Drosophila melanogaster: one gene and its partners. The protein of the gene in region 1 interacts with the protein of each later gene in a pairwise test. Each region holds a gene or a part of one and is shown in the gene's direction. Other genes may lie near its edges. The genes, in order: Acox3, CG4653, Ing3 and Mst33A.

Region 1 (5,788 bases):
AATCTATTTGAAACGCCGGACGTATTCTTTTAAGACCGAAAGTGGTAATATCTTGTGTTTTAGTTGTCTTTAGTTGTTTAGCAGAATGTTAGTTTGATTTTAAATTGTATTTAGCTCAAATAGGCCATTTATTTCCTTTTAAATTTATTATATTCATTCAATATATACAAGCATTCATATTATTGATAATCTTAAGAAAATTAGAAATATCAGCGGTTTAAATGAGCAACACCAAAATATCACGCAACGTTTTATTTGAATCGTCAATTTGAATTTTTCGTAAGCAGCTCTATAAATGAAGTTTTAATGCGTACATATATATGTAAAAGCGACGTAATTTTTATAGCTTTTTCTAATGGAACATTTTTTAGCAACAATTAAGGAACTTATTGCGATTGCGCAGCCACTGAAACGAAAATAGAAAAAATTGAAATTGTAATCAATAACTACGTGTTACCTAATTAGTTTAATAAACAAATTGCCGAAATGGCTTATTGCAAGGATTTTAGCCAGAACTTATACAAAAGAGTGAAATGTAAGATTTGAACTCGAAATACACACGTAGGTTATAGCTAGACGTCAGATTATAATTATAAATGTAAAATTGTATTTTAAACATTCGAATGCAGAACGTTTTTGATTGCACACTAATTACCCCGTCATTTGTACGCCCTTAATTGCTAATATCAATCAATCTCCAAAGTGTTTTTAAAATCAAAAAAGGCAACTTCAGTGTGTTTTTTTGGTTATTATTTATTGTATTAAAAACGAATTACTATGCGGATGTTTACAATTTAGTTTTATAAATAATCTGACGTGTATTGTAAGAATAAACTGACAAGCCAATAACGAAGGAAAAATGAGTGCATGTTAACTAAGTGTGTAAGTTGTATTAAGAACGTAATCAAATAAATGCTATTAGATCAATTACATGTACATATTCGCATTTTATTGTGGGCTCTTGAAAAAAATAAACTATTCAACAGTTTTAATTAAAATCAAATTTAGAATCCATGAAAATTGTATGGTATGGATATGGATGCTCTTTTCATATTTTAAATGTGGATTGTAATGTTTTTATATATATTGTAATGTTTTTATATAACAAAATAGATAAAATTAGACCAGCAAATGACTCGTTTCTGATAGAAAGAATATTCAAATTACGCGCCAGACCTACTATTCCAGCCCTGGCTACCTTGAGAAGGTCTGGCAACGCCCCCGCTAAAACATTTTGTGAAAACATTGAATTGTGATATTAAAGAAAATTAAACATGAAATTTATGTATATTATGTATAATAATTAAATAATTATATTATATAATAATTAACAGAATTTAAAAAACTTCACATTTTGTATTTATATAACACCGTTCTTTCTCATGGCTTAAGTCACGTCAAACTATGTTATCTTCAATGGTGAAAAACTGGGTTAAAATTGTTTGTTTATCGCGCTTGTTGTTGGCTGATGGCTGATAGGAAATTAAAGCAATGTTTGTGGCCGCTAAAAGATTCGAATTTCGCAGGCAGCACCCACCACCACCTGCACGGGCCGCCCTAATCCCGCATTCTCCTAGGGCCCGTATCTTATCCGCGGCGGATGCAAACCACTAAAAGGCTACTTGGCCATGAAGTGCGGATAAGCGGATTCCTTCTTATCGCCGCTGGCCATTGGACATTGGCTATTTTACCAATAATAGTTACGAGTGCCTGGACTTTCAAGCATTTCGCGCCTAGCATTCGAAGCAGCCAGACCAGTCGCTAGAATCGAACTCCAACATGGTTGCATTGAGCACAAAGTAAGTACCCCTGCCCCACAGCCCCATCGCCTCGACTGACGACCACAACGTCCACCAATCCAACATTCCAACAAGAGCCAGTTCTCTGGGCAATGGCGAGCGGAGTAGGCGATGGCGATGGTGGTGACCAAAACGGTCTGAACTCATTACTAACCGCACTGGGCGACTATTACAGCGGCCGCCGGGAGGAGAAGGCTGCAGCCAACATCTACGATGACAAACGGATCTTTCCCGACTTCCGTAGCGGACCTTTGGAAGAGTACCGTGAGCGGGCTAGCTTCTGCTACAAGCGCATGAACGTGGTGCTCGAGGGCGAGGATCACATACGGCTGAAGGTTCGTTACCATTTCCAGTTTGTTACATATGTACATGGTCAGCGGGGTCGAAGTGCAGACTGCCTCGATAGCTTTTGTCGGAGCTGCAGGCCGCCAACCGCCCGGTCTAATCGTCGCCCGTTTCTTATCTGCACACTTGAGTAATTCGTTTACATGTCACTCCGTCTTTAGCACAAGGTGTGGCAATGGATGGAACAGCACCCCGACTACCAGCGGGAGCCAGGATCCGATTTGGAACGCACCCGCGAAATGGCCAACAAGCGGCAGCATCTTCTGTGGGAGCAACAGTTCTACGGCGTCAACGAGGTAGGATGCGTTGCGTACTCCTGAAAGTGTGGCTGCCTAAATCTCCTGTCTTTCTTTCAGTATCTTGGAACCCCACATCTTCTGCTTGCTTTCGGACAGGCCATCTTTAGCTACGATTTCAGCACTTCGGTCAAGTTCGGCCTTTCAACTGGCATGTTCCCCAGCACGCTGGTCTCCAACGGATCTGGCCGCCTGGGCAAGTACGTGGCCAAGATCGCGGACAACCGCATTTTGGGCGCCTACGCTCTCACTGAGATTTCTCACGGCACCAACGCGCTCGGCATGCGCACCCGTGCCACCTACGATGTGAAAAGGCAGGAGTTTATCATCCACACGCCAGACTTCGAGGCGGCCAAGTGTTGGGTCGGTAATCTAGGCAAGACTTGCACGCACGCAATCGTCTACGCCCAGCTGTACGTGCCGGATGACAAGCACCAGGGCCTGCAGGCCTTCCTTGTTCCCATTCGGGACGAGCGTACATTGCTTCCATTCCCCGGCGTAACCGTCGGCGATATGGGCGAAAAGATCGGTCTCAATGGCATTGATAACGGGCAAGTACTTTCTTCTATCAGTTGATAAAACTAATCAACAGCAACAGAAATAATTTCGATTTGTTTGGCATTGCAGATTTGTGATGTTCAACCAGTATCGTATCCCTAAGGCAAATCTGCTGTCCAAGACCGGTGACATCGATGCGCAGGGAAACTACACCAGTAAAATTAAGGACGAGCGTAAGCGCCTTGGCGCCTCCTTGGGTGCCCTCTCCGTGGGTCGCGTCAATATCACTGCTATCACGTATGTGGCCTTGAGCAAGGCTGTGACAATTGCCACTCGCTATGCGGCCAGCAGACGCCAGTTTGGCCCTACCAACAGCCCGGCGGAGTGGCCCGTGATCGAGTATCAGTCACAGCAATACCGACTAATTCCCCACTTGGCCACCACAATCGCCTTGCGGGTGGCCACACTCTGGATAGGCAAAGAGAACGTGGATTTGACCATGAAGGGCTTCACTGGCGAGGACACGTCGCAAGCGGGCATGGAGATCCATGCGATCTCATCGGCACTCAAACCAGTTGCCACTTGGGCTGCCAGGGATGGCATCCAGGTATGAATGCTTTATATATGTATATAACCACTTTTACTTATCGGTTATATTGTTTTAATCTCAGGAATGCCGCGAGGCCTGTGGCGGTCATGGCTATCTTAAATCTTCTGGCTTGGGCGAACTTCGCAACGACAACGATGCCAACTGCACCTATGAGGGCGAGAACAACACGCTCATCCAGCAAGCGTCCAATTGGTTGATCAGTCTGCAACGCAACAATGCCGACTTCGTGGCAGTTTCCCCATTGGAGACAGTCTCCTTCCTGAAGGATATGGACACAATTCTGCAAAGCAAGGGTCAGGAGCGAACTCCTGCCGAAGTTTTGGATCCGCTCAGTGAGTATTTCTTAGTTATCCAAATATAAGATAGGAATAACGCAATTTTATTGCACTTCTATAGATCTACTTAATGCCCTCAACTGGCTTACCGTCTGGCAACTGGATACGACGGTGAAACGAGTTGAGGAACAGCAGCGCGAAGGAAAGGATGCCTTTGAGACGAGGAACAACATCCAGGTCTTTGCCGCCCAGAAGCTCTCCATTATCTACGGCGAGGTGAGATGCCAACCCTCTAAACCCCAACTAAATAGTAAAATAACCAAGTTTAATATTCTTTTAGCGCACCATCTACTACGTGTTTTATAAGTTTGTAATTGGTCTGCCCGACTCTGCTGAGAAGAAGGTACTGCAGCAGGTGCTCTCCTTCTATGGCGCCCACTTGGTCACAAAGTACTCCGCTGCTTTCTACCGCGGTGGTTACTTCCGCGAAAACTCTAACCAACTGGAGCTGTACGAACAGGGCATTCTGGCTCTGCTTCCCCTGCTGAAGAACGAAGCCATTGCTCTGGTGGATGCCATTGCTCCCACAGACTTTATTCTAAACTCTCCTCTGGGCATGAGCGATGGAAACGTAAGTGGTCTACCATAAGCAACTGCTACTCTTACTAAAGATTCTATCCTTTCGCAGGTCTACCAGCATCTGCAGCGCACGCTTGTCTCCACTCCAGGTGTCTACGAGCGTCCTCATTGGTGGCGTGATGTTACCTACAAGGATTACCTTAAGCGCGCCAAATTGTAGACTCACTGTAAAATCCCAAATAAGAAGACTTTACTCGTTGAGTTTTTGTAAGAAACTGATTTTATTTGGAAATATCTTCGGTTTAAATAGGTGACATGAGAATCGCATCTTAAAGTAAATGGCCTACGCAGAGGCCTAAGTAAATAGTCCCCGCCTTATCGAGGTCCCACGCTCGGGCACATCTGCCTATCTTGAGCGGCGAGGACCTTATCTGTGGTCTCCCACTAAGGGACTATTTTAGGAGGCGGGGAACGATCTCAAGTGACTGACTCATGTAGTGTGCACTTAAATTACATGTTTTTGAGCAATGCACCCATGTCGCCTTAGATAACAAAATCCTAAATATAATTTATCGCTCTCGATTCATTTACATAAGATATGAACGGAGCCCAAAATTGTAAGTCTTTAAATATATTCGTGTTCATGTGTGAACATTCTGCCAAAGGGCCAGCAAGCTGAGATGTACATTAGTATATTAGTTGCATTTATAACAGTAGTGGACTGTATTTATTTGATATATGTTCATTTATTTTGCAACTAAGATTTCAATGGGCCTAGTTTTTCTGGCTTTTAATTTTATTGGATTACAATTATGGTTTATATTATTTTTAATTCAACAATTTGTACTCAATTAACTTATTTTAAACATTTTGCTTTTTCTATGTAGAAGTACATTTTCTATTAAACAACGATATAGTGGACTGTATATTTTTATTTGTTATATTATTTTATTGTTTATTTACTATTGATATTTATAGTACTGGCAACGGACCTGCAAAGGTTATTGCTTGCATTCTTTGTTGCACAGCACATTTCCGTATGAAATATATTATTAATACTATCATTAGTATTAAAGCAATAATTAATCCAGCATGTCCGGAAATATGATGGAAATGTAAATCTTTCAATTTTTGATGGTTCTCTTTCATAAATTTAATTTCATTATTCAATCGTTCAAATTCCTCAGTATGATTTAATATTGATAGTTTCAGCGGATCCCAAATAATCTTCGGCGCTTCACTAATTTCTCCTATATAAGGTGTTGATAATAATTCTTCACTTTCGGACTGAATGTTATGGTGGGCAACTAGAATTTTATCGTCGGTTCTTGCCGTACAATATGGCGCAATGCTTAAAACTCCTTGCTGAGGCAAATCAAACAATTC
Region 2 (4,497 bases), on another chromosome or scaffold:
ATCAATTAATTAGTAGTAAAAATTAATTAATTAGTAGATTGACTTTGGTACTCACAGCTTTCCATCGCGATGCACACAGTGGGCGGTGGTCAGGATTTTGGTCTGGGAGAGAATGCTACCGCCGCACACATGGGCATTGTCCACCCGCAAGGAGGCGGTGAAGGTCGTGGCTGTGGCGTCCGCGTCCTCCCCTCCCATGATGCGTCCCTGGGCGTGGCACATGCCCACCGCCGTCAATCCGATCAGACCCAAAATCACTAGTCTCGGCTGCATCATTTTGTTCCTGTATTTTTTTTTTGGTTTTTTATTTGGTGGTTCTGCTACCCACGGCAGTTGGAATGAAAATGCGCAATGCCAGCGACGAGAATATAAGAGACTAGCTCCATATAACTACCACCTCCTCCACCTTCTACCCGAAGTTCTCCACCACTTCCTTGACCAATCCTTATCTTCGGCTTGGGCATCAGAGAAAATCTAATCTTATCGCCTTATGGCAATGGCTTTATGCCGCTATAGACTATTGTTACTTGTTAGTTCACCGATTAATTGGCACATAAATAGAAAATTGCACAAGTCGGTTGAAGGGAAGTCCAAATAAACCAAACGACCAGTGTCCAGTGACAGTACAACTACAACCATCTATAGGAGATAATGATGAGTAACACATGACTCAGGGGAGCTACGGAAATTAGGGTGCTTCAGGTCTCAGAATAATCTAAAATCAGTCGTGGAAAACTTTGGATTTTTTGAGTTGCTCTTTCAATAAAATGTCTAAACATTTTGGTGTTAATTAAACTCTATAAAATTGCCTTGAATGTAAGCAAATTATCAACGTATTTAGTAGGAATTACCCTTTAGCTTGGCGATAACAAATCTGGATTATAAAGATTTAGCCCAGTCATTGGCGATTGATCAAGCTAGCTGCACAAAAGTTTGGTTCCCAGGTTGATTACGGCGATTTCCTTCGATCTCTATCTAAATGTTCTGTTAAATAGCCATACTCTCTAATATATATGACTCCATAAACAATAATAGCCAATTGTTGTGACCATTTACTTGGCAATTTTGTTAGATAATCCTTGACGGCATCCCATAAATTAGAAACAGGTTTCAAGGTAATTTCTTAGTAATTAAAGAACCTTTGAACGGCGCCAATTAAATGTTATTCTATCGATTGTAGCTTTATGACCAGCACTAAATTCCATATAGTTTGCATCCATATAAAGTTAAAAACACAAAACGTTTTTTTTTGTAGAGGGAGTAACACACTTTATGCACATGAAAAAAATGTATAAAAAAATAAAGGGTAGTCCTTGGATGGCGAACCAAAAGTTTTACTGGGTATTGGCCTCGATCCAGGTTAGGTAGTAGGAGACACGGGTGGCCACATCCGGATACTTGCTGCCGCAGGGTCCGAAGTTGAAGCTGGTCAAACCGCGAAGCACCTTGTCGTCATCGATGACAGCCGCACCGGCATCCCCACGACAGATGCCCTCGCCCTCGGCTCTCGAGAGGCAGACGACGGATTCGTAGCCGTATCCGGCTTCCCATTCGCACAGGGATCGGCTCAGCGTATTGTAGTTGGCCTTCTGCTGTTTATAGGATGCAGTACCATCCGAAAGTTCACCCCATCCAGCCACATAGACCGGAGTTCCGTTGGGCAGCTCAGCGTCCACATCTTCCGTCTCCTCATCAGTTGTGGGGGGCAGTGCGATGTCTTGGATGCGATCGCTAAAGACCAGGGTCTCGTCCAGCTCCAGTATGGCGATGTCGTGCAGGAAGTTTCCGTACGATGGATGGATGATCACGCTCTTTACATTCACAATGCTGCCGCCGGCGTACTGGTTAATGGTGCCCAGGCGAACAGCCAAGGTGCTGGCATCCACTCTGGGGATTTAGAACAAATAGGGATTAGAACTGGTAGATGAATATATATTCTTAAAGTTCTCAAAGTGAAGTGCTTAGGGAATCCAAGTGTATATAATCATAAAGTGTAGTTAGAACTCACGGGGTGATGCCCACGCTGGACACACAGTGGGCGGCGGTCAGGATGTGGTTTGTTGAGATGATGGCGCCGGAGCAGACGTGGGCCTTGTTGTATCTCACGGATGCGGACCAGGGGTACTCGCCCTGGGCAACGTCCTCGCCGCCAAGAATGCGACCTTGTGGCGAGGCTTCCGCGGAGAGGATCAGGCCAAAGATTAGCAGGCCGAGGCCGAGAGTAATGCGTGGATCAGCCATGGCGATGGATTGGCAACTGAATGGGCCCATCAGCCAACGATCGGTGGTCACCGCCACTTAGCGATCTAATCGATGGGCATTGTATGGCGATAAGGAGAGCGACTTGAATTTATGGGGGTAACAATCGTGTGGCGATTAGATTGCTTAACCCATGGTCGTAAACGGGGTGTTCTATAAAGGTCCGCCGGCCGGTAGGCGCACCTTTCAGTTGAGATCCCACAAGCCATGAGTCCGGTTCAGTCATATTCACACAGTCGACTACTCCTGCTCGTGGTCATCGTGACCTTGGGCGTGGTCCAATCCAGTCGACTGCCGGCGGAGGTGGGCTCCCAGCCACACAGCATCTCACTGCGTCGGAATGGCGTCCATGTGTGCGGAGGAGCTTTGATCCGTGAAAAGTGGATCCTCACCGCAGCCCATTGCGTCAGTTTGGGCGGTGGACAGCAGAGGTAGATGGTTTTTACACAGAGAGAAAAAGTTCATATCAACTTAAGTTAAGCATAATTCAATTAGATGCTAATTGTTTACTTTTCAAGACATTATTTATTTATTTATAAATATTTTCACATTTTGAAAGAAACTTACTTTAAAAGATAGAGAATGATTCAAAGTATAATCACTATAAATATATATTTTAGTTGAGCTGTTAATACCATTTAAGTAATTCAAAAGGGCTGCCAAGTTGATATAACTTTTTCACTGTGTAGGATAACCGTGTGAAACAGAATACATTACCCAATTCATCCATTTAGCTACCCAGCTAAATCCTACAATGTGCGAGTGGGCAGCATTCAGCGACTGACCGGTGGTCAACTGGTGCCTCTGTCCAAGATCATAATCCACACGAACTACTCCAGTTCGGATGCAGTTGGCTCTAATGACTTGGCCTTGCTGGAGCTGGAAACGTCGGTGGTCCTGAATGCGAATACGAATCCGATTGATTTGGCCACCGAGCGACCGGCGGCGGGCTCCCAGATTATCTTCTCCGGCTGGGGATCCAGCCAGGTGGACGGATCTCTCAGTCATGTCCTCCAGGTGGCCACCAGACAGAGCCTGAGTGCGTCCGATTGCCAAACGGAGCTGTACCTGCAGCAGGAGGATCTGCTCTGTTTGTCCCCGGTGGACGAGGACTTCGCCGGACTCTGTTCCGGTGATGCCGGAGCTCCGGCGTCTTACAACAACCAATTGGTGGGCATTGCCGCCTTCTTTGTGAGCGGATGTGGTTCCGAGCAGCCCGATGGCTACGTGGATGTGACCCAGCATCTGGAGTGGATTAACGAAAACGCTGTTTAAATAAAACCGAGACGTTGATTAGGGAAATGCTGTATGAGAACATTGTTTTTTAACAATTACTTTCGTGACCGACTTAAAATAGTATATGTTGTTTCATACTAATTAAAAGGGGAAACAACGTATAAATTGCTTACTGAATACGAAATATCAGTTGTATACTTCTTTTTTAATACAAATACAACTGAAACAGATTTTATAAATATTATTTCACCTAAAGTGGTTCAGGTAAAGTAGTGTTTTCCGTTTTTGATTTACACTCAACAATCTTCTCTTTCTATTAAAAAACTTTACTTCGAGTGCGTTTAAGATAAAGAAGGTTTTGTTTTCTCTGATATTTTAAGTGCTATCAGCATTCCAGCTTATATATGGGTATATATTTACATCTGACTCAGCAATCATTGAATCCACTTGTTAATTTATGTCTTAATCATTAACGTTTTATAAGATTTCTAATAAAGCTCCTATAAGTATGCTACAAAATTCGAATTTCAAAGTAATAATGGCTATATTTATGGTCTATCGATATTTGTTTAACTTTCACCTCATTAGATTAAGCTGCCTAGATGATAGTAGTAGTACGCTTTTCCTATAAATAAACAAAATAAAAGAAAAGAAATTTAAATGGATAAAACCAATTAAAAAGCCACTAAAAGAGGAAACATTTAAAAAAAATTAAAAACTACCTCTAGGTTTTATTTAGTTAATATACATGTTATAAACATGATATCACAATATCAATGAACTATTTTTAAACAATATTGGTAACTTAAATTTCCCTTAAAAAAAAAAAAAACAAAAAATGAAGCTTTTGGAATGCTTTTGCTATCGACATTGGTTTATTGCTGCAACTGCTGTTGGATCCAATCGTAGTTGGCCGCAATGCTAATGAATCGTTCGGGCAGCATTCCGCCGCACTCGCCAAGGATCTGTGCACCCAGACCCACCAGCTGGCCCTGGTAGACG
Region 3 (5,435 bases), on another chromosome or scaffold:
AGCGGCTGCGAGCGCAAATTAACCGCAACAGCGTCAAGCAGCGCAAGGAGCGGGCGCAGGAAACCAAAGAAGCGGCCACCGACGGGGCCAGCACGCCGACTGAGGAGGAGGATAAGGATCCGGAAGCAGAATCGGAATCGAAGAAGAAGAATCAGGAGCCAGGTAGTGGCGAAACGGAGACCGAGTCTGCAGCAGATCCCACTGAAACGCCGCCGTCCAGGTCCGCGGACAATGAAGAGGAGGAGGAGGAACACTCTGCCACCGCCGCCGGCTGCGGCTCAAACTCGAGTGGCCATCGACAGAGGAAGCGCAGCTCCTCCAGACGCAGCTCCGTGGTGCCCACGGCCAACGCACAGATCCTCAACATGCACTACGTGTACAGCTTCCTGCAGATGCTAGTCTTCACCCTTATCGGACTCGCCGTGCGCAAGCTCTTCTTCCTCAGCTTCACGCAGGGCTGCGTCATCGCACCCACCGTCTGCTCCAAACTGTGGTACCATCGCCAGCGCAACATCTTCTGGTCGGTCTCGCTGGCCGTCTTCCTGCTCAGCATGTTCGATCCGGGCATGGTGGTAAGTTGGATACCGCCTCTATTGCTCACGGGAATTGTTGTGATTTCGTCGCCCTCTCAAAAATAGAACATTCGCGAAGAGTACTTCCCCACGCGCTACTCCAAGAGCGGTGACGACCTGGACAGCATGCTCGAGTGGATCAAGCTGAACACAGAGCGAGATGCGGTCTTTGCCGGCCCCGTGGACATCATCGGCACCGTGCACTTGACCACCAAACGGCCCATAGTCAACCATGCGCACCTGGAGATGCGTCAGATAGCGTAAGTTCTCCCAATCTGAGCGAGATAGCCTATCGACTATGCCCCTGCTCTGTCCCGCTCTCATTGGCATCCATATCCTGGCCATGCACGTACTGAAACTTCCGCCTTTGTTTATCTTTTTTAAGGGAGCGCACGGAGCACGTGTACTCGGTGTACAGTCGTCAGCAGTCGTCGGATATCTACAACCAGTGCGCCCAGCTGAAGATCCAGTACTTGATCATATCGCTGGACGAGTGCACCAACGAAGTGCGGTGAGTAGACGCAGACAAAATCCTCGAGACGGGCACTTGAACGCTTAATTGAGATATTGTATTCTTATCGCATTAATATGTACTTTTGCCTGCTTTCTACAACAGCGACGATTGCGATCTGCTGGCCATTTGGGATGACAAGCAGCCGGCCTACCAAAAATACCCACAGTTCTGCCACGAGCTGCTCCACAAGAACGTGCCCAGCTTCCTGAAAGTGTTCGCCAACGACCACTACGGCATTATCAAGATGTTCTCGCAGAGCGTCCAGATCAACCTCAAGCACAACAAGATGCCCGAGATGTCCATATAGGGCTGGCCGTCCACGGAGGCGGCGCGATGATGGAATGCTGGAATCGTGTTGTGTTGTACGTAGCTGTGTGAGCTGTGTGACTAGGATTTAGCATTTTACGATGTGTGTGTATTATGATTACGTTTAGTATTGCCCCAACCTCGGATGCCCGAACACATCTCGCACCCAATCCCAAATCCCGATCCCGCGTAGTAGCTGATTTGATATGGCAGATTGGCGATTAGAAGGAGGCCCCTTCCGCTAGATAGTAAACTGGATGCATTTAGCAGCTTGACTTGTTTCCGCGCCGCTGCGTTCAAACCTTGTTTGGATCATTCCCCGCACCCGCACCTGCGCCTGCGCCCTCGCATTCGAATAAGTTAATCTAGCCGAACGGAGCGACCTTAACTCTAAATACTTTCGTTAAGTTTAAGCTAAGCTTTTTACATTTACGCATGTAGTATACATATGACGATGAGACGCGTGTGGCAACGAAAGTGGCTGCATGTGGACGATGTGCATCCGGGAGCCACGATCCCAGACCCAAAAACAAGCGGGTAAACACGCATTTGCCAGGCAATAAGTGAAATAAAATGATATATTTGAAACAATCCTATGGGCATCTGTTGTTTGTTTATATCTTTAAAATGCTTACTCCTTATTGTTCACAACTTTTGAACAGTAAAAATGTGAGTATATATTTGTTTTGAAATATATTCACATTTTTAGTTTTATACAATACAGCTTATAATATGTAAATAAATAATATCATTAATTATGATTTCCATTTATACAATTTATTTAAATTTCGAATTTCACCTTACAGGGTTTGTGTCGCAGCTATCCACCCTGAGTTTGTATCGCGGTTTCGAGTCGATTGCTTAAATATCGATATTATCGAGCACTACCATCCGCATCTGGGATTAACTTCGTTTCGCCATCCGGTCACACACATACCCGCAACAATACACGAATTTTCATTAATAAACACACAAAGTAGTTAAAATTTTGGGTTTACACCGCGGCCCATTCGCATCGCCATCATGCTTTACCTCGAAGACTATCTGGAGATGATCGAGCACCTGCCGCAGGAGCTGCGCGACCGCTTTACCGAGATGCGCGAACTAGATCTCGCCGTCCAGAGTAAGTGCAACCAGAGAATCCGAATCTCTGCTTTTCGCCGGATCACTAACCAATAACTGCTCCTTGCGGTGCACAGACAACATGGACTCGCTGGACAAGAAGGCCCACATGTTCTTCAAGCAGTGCAAGCGCGACGAACTGCAGCACGAGTCGATGGACACGGAGTTCCACAGCCTGCGCGGCGAGTACTTCAAGGTGATGGAGGACGCCGACGAGAAGGTGGCTATTGCCACTCAGATACACGAGCTGGTGGAGCGCTACTTGCGCCGCCTGGATAGCGAGCTCTTCAAGTTCAAGTGCGAGCTGGAGGCGGACAACAACGGCATCACCGAAATCCTCGAGCGCCGCTCTCTGGAGCTGGACGGCAACTCCACTGCAGCCACCGCCCTGCTGCTGAGCATGAACCAGAAGGAGAACCGCTACTACGGCGCCAGTTCGGCCAATACCATGGTGAACAGCTCGACGGGACACGCAACGGGTGCCGCCACTGGCTCCTCCGGCATTGCACTGGTCAGTGGTGCTGCCGGAACGGGCGGTGCCCTCTCCAGCATCTCCACCGCCCAGTTGGGCTCAAGTCAGCGCCACCGCAAGCTGGAGAAGCGGCGGGAAACCATATGCACGGTGCCTGTTCAGGAGAAGCGCGCCAATCTGAATCACTCACTTCCCGTGGTCGGTTCGGGCTCCACGACTGCCGCGGCAGCCTCATCTTCGTCCGCCACAACGGCCGCAGCAGCCGCCAGCCTGGCCAGCGCGACGACTGCCCAAACTCATGTCTCCAACCACATTGGCAGCATCGCCGCCACTCATCTCACCCTGCCTGTGGCCATGGGCGTGGCCGGCGGCAGTAGCAGTCTTGCCAGCAGCTCGCTTGCCACAGGAACGGGTTCGCTGGTCCGCCAACTGCCCACGAACCTTACCCACACCGTGCTAAGCACCTCGGGTGGAGCGACCGCCGCAGCGGCAGCGGGCGGCAACTCCACGTCCGTGGTCGCTGCTGGTACGGCCCACGGGCACGCCCATGTCAGTGGGCACTCGGCCGCCGGGGCCACAGTCACCTACAACCTGCAACAACTGGGCGGAGGAGCCGCCGCATCTAGTGCCATTGCGGCGGCAGCCAGCCAGGCGATCGTGGCCACACAGCAGATGCAGCAAGGCCGCCGCACGGCCAGCCTCAAGGCGAGTTACGAGGCCATACACGGAACAGCGGGCACCACCACCGACTTCTGGACCCAAGCCGGTCAGGGTGGACTGCAGCAGTCGACCGCTGGATCGGTGACAGTGGCTGCCGGCACAGCGTTGGCCACCGGCGCAGCTGGCGGTAGTAGCACCGGCTCGCATCATTCGCACCACTCACAGTCGCACCATGGCGGCCATGGGCACGGACATGGTCATGGCCATGGGCATGGTCATGGGCACGGACACCACAGCAGCAGTGGTCACGGCGGCGGGCACAGCAGCCACCACCAGGAGAAGAAGCAAAAGAAGAAGCTAACCACAGCGCTGACGTTGCCCACAGTGCAGCCGACGGCCGGCTCCTCGTCGGGCAACTCGATTGGCTCGTCGTCGTCGATTAGTCTGGAATCGGTGAACAAGCTCACCACGTCGGCGGCCCTGGCGGCGGCATCGGCCACGACAACCTACATGTCTGTGGGTGGACAGGCGCTGCTCGCCATGACCCCCGGAGGTGGAGGCGGAGGCAACTTGGCGGAGAGTTCCGCTGAGGGCGTGCCCGCCGGAATGATTGCCATGAACCTGCCCACCACCACGGTAACGCCCGGCTCCAGCCTGACCATCGGCGAGAACGGACTCGTGGTGGAGCAGACGAACGAGGGCGAATGGTCGTACGATCCCAACGAGCCGCGCTACTGCACCTGCAACCAGGTGTCCTACGGCGACATGGTGGCCTGCGACAACGACGCCTGTCCCTACGAGTGGTTCCACTACCCCTGCGTGGGCATCACCCAGCCGCCCAAGGGCAAGTGGTACTGCCCCAAGTGCACCGCCTCCATGCGGCGCCGTGGCAACCGAAAGAACTGAGGCTGACTGCGCCTGCTGGCGCCCCTCTTCCGTGGCGGGGGCGGCGGCGTAGGCACCTGGTCGCGTCGCTAGCGGCTCTTATACTTGTAAAGTGACAAATAAACAAATTCAAAGTATTCAATAAAGTTAGATCAGCAATAGAGCAGCTCTTTATATTCAGTTCGGAACGCAAAGGCGAATAGTGGATTGGGATTGCACTAATATATCTTAACTAAAGTAGTTTAAGCCAGCTTCTAGCTTAAATAACAAATTTAGGGTGTTTTCGCTACAATAATAATAAACAATAAAATATAGTTCATTCGATAGTTTGATTTCAAAATTCGCGCCCTCTTGGCAATCAAACAGCGTGACCATGCTGCGCTTGCTAAAGCACTCTGGTCACGCTGAACAGAAGAAAAGAAAATTTCCAGCGTCATTTGTGCATTGCAAGTTAGTAAACAATAAAAGCGCATAAACAGGGCTAGGAAAAGCGGGAAGACGATTAGGTAAACAGAATTCGACGCAAATCGGTTGGAAAAACGGCCTCAAGATTGGCAAGATACGCAAGAGCAAGAAAATGAGCTACAACGAGAAATCGGAGGCCATCATCAAGGAGGAGTGGCTGCAGCGCCTGGAGCAGTTTCCCTTCAAGCAGGCGGACATGAATCGCCTGATCATGAACTACTTGGTCACAGGTGAGTCCGGGTCACCAGCCCGCAGCCACAGCAAGCAGCTAATCAAGGGCTAATCCACAGAGGGCTTCAAGGAGGCCGCCGAGAAGTTCCAGCACGAGGCGGATCTGGAGCCCAGCGTGGAGCTGAGCAGCCTCGATGGGCGCATACTCATCCGCGAAGCCGTGCAGGCGGGCCGCATCGAGGAGGCCACCCAGCTGGTGAACCAGCTG
Region 4 (4,492 bases), 5.1 Mb from region 1:
TGTAGGTTTAACGAACGGAAATTGCTTTCGCTCTCCGCGGGAAAATTAAGTAAGCCCTTGCCGTTATTATTGTTGCCTGATTTTCCCTTCAACTTTTCGCCATCCTGTTGTTCCTGTCGCTTTTCGACTGCGGAAAAGCAAAGTAAATGCAAAGCCAGAAACAAAGTCGTTCGAAAGCATCGAGTCCCAGCCAAAAGTGTATCTCATTTGTGTTTTCGTTTTCAATTTGTTTGGCTAACTTTCTGATTGAGCTCGTGGCTCATTGCGGCGCATAACAGGCAGCGAATGGAATTATTTAATGCTTTACATTTGGCCCAAACAGCCGCCCCCCCAGCCAGCACAAGTTGGCCCCATTTCCCCGATGGCAGACTGCCGGGTAATTGCAATTGATTTGTCGAGCACTTTGCACGCCAATTTGTTTCTGGTCACGGTCAGTTTGGCTGGGAAATGTGGTCAAGGCTGTGGGGGGCCTGCAAATCGAGATTGTTATAATAAGTGGGCAAAACTTGAAGGCTCTCTTTGATCTTGGGATGTGAAAAACCAAATTAGCACCTTGCCAAAATGATTTGACCCACATTGTTGCAGAGAGGGGCAATCAATTTTGATTGCTCAACCTTTCTTATAACAAAAAAAAATTTTGAAATGGAACATATATTTCTATAATATTTCCATTTTTATTTACTTGAAGTGTATAAACATGTTTTACTTAAACTTAAATTATTCTACAATGTATTTCTCAGTTAGCCCGAACTTTTAAGGGTTAGATGGACCCATACAAATGTTTAAGTACATGTAAGACTAAAAATGAATAAATTAATAATTAATCCTATCTCAAGGGTGCGATAATTCTCGTACAGTTACCAATCAGTTTAAGCATTTAAGGGCCGTTAACGGCTGTTTTAATAAAAAAATACATTTTATAATTACGTTTTTTTTTGTGAAACCTTTTGTACAATTTAACCATTTAATCCCTTCCATTTGAACCCTCAGCAAACCACGCGAGGTCGAAGTGCATTTCTGCAAAGTGTCATAAGGTGGAGGCCAGCTAACCTGGCTTCCACAAACAAGTTTCGACTGAAAAGGCTTACTGAAACCGGTTCCTGAAAGTGTGAAACAAAAAACAACTCTCGAGGAAAATCCGCAAACACATGATGGCAAACTTTTTTTTTAAAACCCTTACCCAAACTTTCGGCAACTATGTTGCCAAACCTTTTTTGGTCAGTGCTCAGAGTTCGATCAACTTCCAGGGCACTCTATAGGAAACATTAATAACATTATCCGCTCCCAACGCCCAAAACAAATGCAAAACAAACTAATCAAACTTTTTGCAGGATAACCGAAACGACACAAAATGCGCAAAACAAATTGCTTTATTTTCTAATTCAGCTAGAAAGCATTTTCCATACTTTGTTTCCGAGCAGAATCTACGAGCGAGTGGGGGAAAAATCGAAAATCAATTTCTGTTAATGTGCCTGGGCCAAGAGTTTTTTTGCCCAGAGACCTTGCCACCCATATAGCCAACTACCCAGCCACCAAGCGAACCACTCACTCAACCCATGGAAATCCAGCATGCGTTGGCCAGAGCATATTTTTGCATAAAGTTTATGCAAACATTTTTACTCGAAACCCGCATAAATTACGGATGCCGTCTCGGTGCCCTAATAAACCCTATCTGCTGGATGTCTGGGGCTCAGTAAGTGGCCCGGCTGCTCCTGCTCCTGCTCCTGCTCATGGTTCCAATGGTTTCAATGGTTCCACTGGTTCTGGTCCTGCTTATTTTGCATGTCATTTGCGTCTGAGCACTCTGCGGCGCAGATTTTGGCCCAGATCTGGAGGAGCTCTGCGGGTGCAGAATGGATCCAAACGGTTCTGTGTGCTTCTATTCGATGTGCGGCAAATAAATCTTTAATATTTATAGCAGCAAACTTACCACAAAAAGATGTATTTTCATTCGGTTTAAAATTTGTAAGAAGCAGGCTGAGATCACAGTTGCCCCTGCGTTTACGTTTCTCCATTAGTCTATCAGTATAGAACACAGCACACACTTTCTAGGCTCACGTAAATAAGTATTTCGAAATTTTTTACTTTTTAAACACAGCTGTTGCAAGGAAAATATAACACTTGGATAGCATATTTAACATAGGACCTAGTAAACTAAATGCATAGATAATCAAGAGTATGTACCCTTATTTGTCGACTTCTATTTGTTTTTTTTTTTCATTTTTCATTCTATAGGCAACCTCCTTCAGGCAACCTCAAAATGGCGCCCGTTTCAAAACGCCGTTTACCGAAAAAATCGAATACAAATGTAAAAGTAACGAGCACACTTTCGAAAATTATAATGCAAGGAACTGAACAGTTGTTGGACTCGGGAAATAATACAAATATTCATGTTATTGAAAAACCCCGAATGGTGCGGTATTCAAATTCATCGCTTTACAGTGCGTTAGCCGAGGGCCATTCCACACCGGAAATAAATATTGTGGCAAGTAATAGCAACGCACATGGCAAGGTAGAGCTTAATTCTGAAATCAGCGATATGTCTATTGCATCAGTGTCGGTGAGAAATAAACCGTTTGTGAACTTTCTCCAGGATTTCTCCATAGCTCATGGTTCCGTACCCCGAGAAAGTATTCAGCAGGCCATCGTCGAGTGGGATAAACTGACAGCTGAGCAAAAACAAGAATATACTCCTGAAAACTACGTTCTAAAATTATGTGATCAAGTGCATAATCGTGACGAAATTTTAAATGCAGCTACACTGCATCCGGTATATCCAATTACAACCAAAATACAGAATGCATTTAATGAAGCCAGTACGTCCATGAAATCTGAAAAGTATGCGAAGAAGATCTCGTCCCCAAAAATACGTAAGACAATTAAGCGTTTAAAACCAAAACCACGAGTTCTGGTGACTCCCAGAAAATCAGCCAAAAATGCTGGCAAAAAGAATATAATTTATAGTGGTTCGGCTTACAAAAACTTTCTGCGAAAAACCGGTCAAGCCAATCCCGGTCTGATGATTGTGGAAAAGGCCTCATTATGGCGTAAAATGACTCCTGCCGAAAGGGATCTCTATCGGAATGTGAGCAGACCAAGGCGCCAGAACACCAAAGTATCCAGAGTTGACGCTCCCAAGCGCGAAAAGAAGCGTAAAACCTCACAGTTCACCCAGATTTCAGAAAGTGATTTTTCGGAAACTAATTTCAATATTCAGCGAGATGGCCAGCTAGAAGTTTGGAATGGAAGTACAAATTCCCTAGAGGAGGCAAACGGCTCCTGGTTCAAATTTGGATACATTGCTAAAGCACTTGGAACAGTCAAGAGTATATTTAAATAACTATTTCTTTTACAAATATTGTACAAAACATTTGCATAACTATAAAAAGCATTGTAAGCACGCAATTAAACACCAAGGTCAAAGGCGAAGGAAATTCGAAAGTTATTTTTATTACGGTTTACAAAACCGCAAATCGTGAAATCCCTTAAATTGATTTTGATTCAGTTTTTTTCACGAATTTCACTAAGCTTGGTGTGGCATTTGTCCTAAATGTATTTCTTAAGTCAGTCGAAACGGGTTGAAGTTTTAATTCTCCCTATACGGAATTATTCATCTGTTTGTGCAACTTGTAGCTCTGCCACTGCCATCTCCTCTCAACCCGCCACAATCATCGCCGATTTGTGGGTGGACTGGACGGACACCGAGATGAGTCGATGGGGCCTTTGTCTACACTCGACTTTCCTGCATTGGTTCCTGCTCCTGGGCTAACAAATTTCTCGCCATTGTTTACTCGGTTCAGAGTGCGTTCAGAGTCGTTCCAGCCCCCTGAACTCTCATAGCTGCTTCCGTTTCCGGCTTTGTTTTCGTTCCGTTTCGTTCGAAGAGCCCGGGGCTAGCTTTCCACATTTGGTGTTTATTTTATTGTACATTTGCTGCCGGCAATTCCGCTGAGCCGTGAACTGTTCGGCGTGTCATCATTCGCCTTGGCTTCAGTTGCTGAACATCATCATCATCATTATCATCAGACCCGGAATCACCAACATTATCACCACCGCCATATCCATATATGAGAGGTAAATTTCCACGGCGGCCCTAGACGCAAGGACAAGGTTGGGTCGGAGTTGGACGGTGTTGATGTCTGTGCACGTTGTTGTGTTCTGGCTGCTGTTATTGTTGTCTTTCGGTTGCTTTTTAACGTGCGCCCTTCGTGTTATTTACTTAACAATTTACTGAATAATTTACACTCCCCCCCTACCTTCCGCCCAGCGGATGGTGAAAGCTATCGTGTTGGGCATATTGGGCCAGGAAGTCAGCGTGCAGTGGAGTTTATAGATGCACAAAAACTTGGGCGCACAAATTGGTTTAGAATTTTTAAAATATTTGAACAGATTTATATAAAAATTTAAAATGAAAACAATTAAAATAAAAACATTTTAAATAAGACCATTTTCCCTCAAACGCACAGTTTAATTTAATTTTACTTTTACTGGA

Evidence for each region.
Region 2: the proteins of Acox3 (region 1) and CG4653 interact in a two-hybrid assay, tested with the Drosophila melanogaster proteins (one large-scale study listed by BioGRID).
Region 3: the proteins of Acox3 (region 1) and Ing3 interact in a two-hybrid assay, tested with the Drosophila melanogaster proteins (one large-scale study listed by BioGRID).
Region 4: the proteins of Acox3 (region 1) and Mst33A interact in a two-hybrid assay, tested with the Drosophila melanogaster proteins (one large-scale study listed by BioGRID).

Annotation. Positions count from the first base shown.
Region 1 is NT_033779.5:6,443,953-6,449,740, reverse strand, and holds Acox3 (Acyl-CoA oxidase 3), read left to right. Parts: upstream 1-1,878; 5' UTR 1,879-1,891; coding exon 1,892-2,134; intron 2,135-2,305; coding exon 2,306-2,440; intron 2,441-2,500; coding exon 2,501-2,991; intron 2,992-3,067; coding exon 3,068-3,545; intron 3,546-3,609; coding exon 3,610-3,880; intron 3,881-3,944; coding exon 3,945-4,099; intron 4,100-4,163; coding exon 4,164-4,454; intron 4,455-4,511; coding exon 4,512-4,622; 3' UTR 4,623-4,671; downstream 4,672-5,788.
Region 2 is NC_004354.4:16,701,622-16,706,118, forward strand, and holds CG4653 (uncharacterized protein), read left to right. Parts: upstream 1-2,459; 5' UTR 2,460-2,466; coding exon 2,467-2,690; intron 2,691-2,993; coding exon 2,994-3,534; 3' UTR 3,535-3,657; downstream 3,658-4,497. Other genes in the region: sphe (spheroide), read right to left, coding at 56-276; CG9673 (uncharacterized protein), read right to left, coding at 1,335-1,887, 2,009-2,241; CG9672 (uncharacterized protein), read right to left, coding at 4,371-4,497.
Region 3 is NC_004354.4:18,649,944-18,655,378, reverse strand, and holds Ing3 (inhibitor of growth family, member 3), read left to right. Parts: upstream 1-2,287; 5' UTR 2,288-2,415; coding exon 2,416-2,515; intron 2,516-2,591; coding exon 2,592-4,552; 3' UTR 4,553-4,661; downstream 4,662-5,435. Other genes in the region: CG6659 (uncharacterized protein), read left to right, coding at 1-572, 639-832, 958-1,083, 1,189-1,393; Hou (houki), read left to right, coding at 5,109-5,226, 5,287-5,435.
Region 4 is NT_033779.5:11,584,372-11,588,863, reverse strand, and holds Mst33A (Mst33A), read left to right. Parts: upstream 1-2,030; 5' UTR 2,031-2,176; intron 2,177-2,235; exon of another isoform or gene 2,236-2,249; 5' UTR 2,250-2,260; coding exon 2,261-3,340; 3' UTR 3,341-3,431; downstream 3,432-4,492.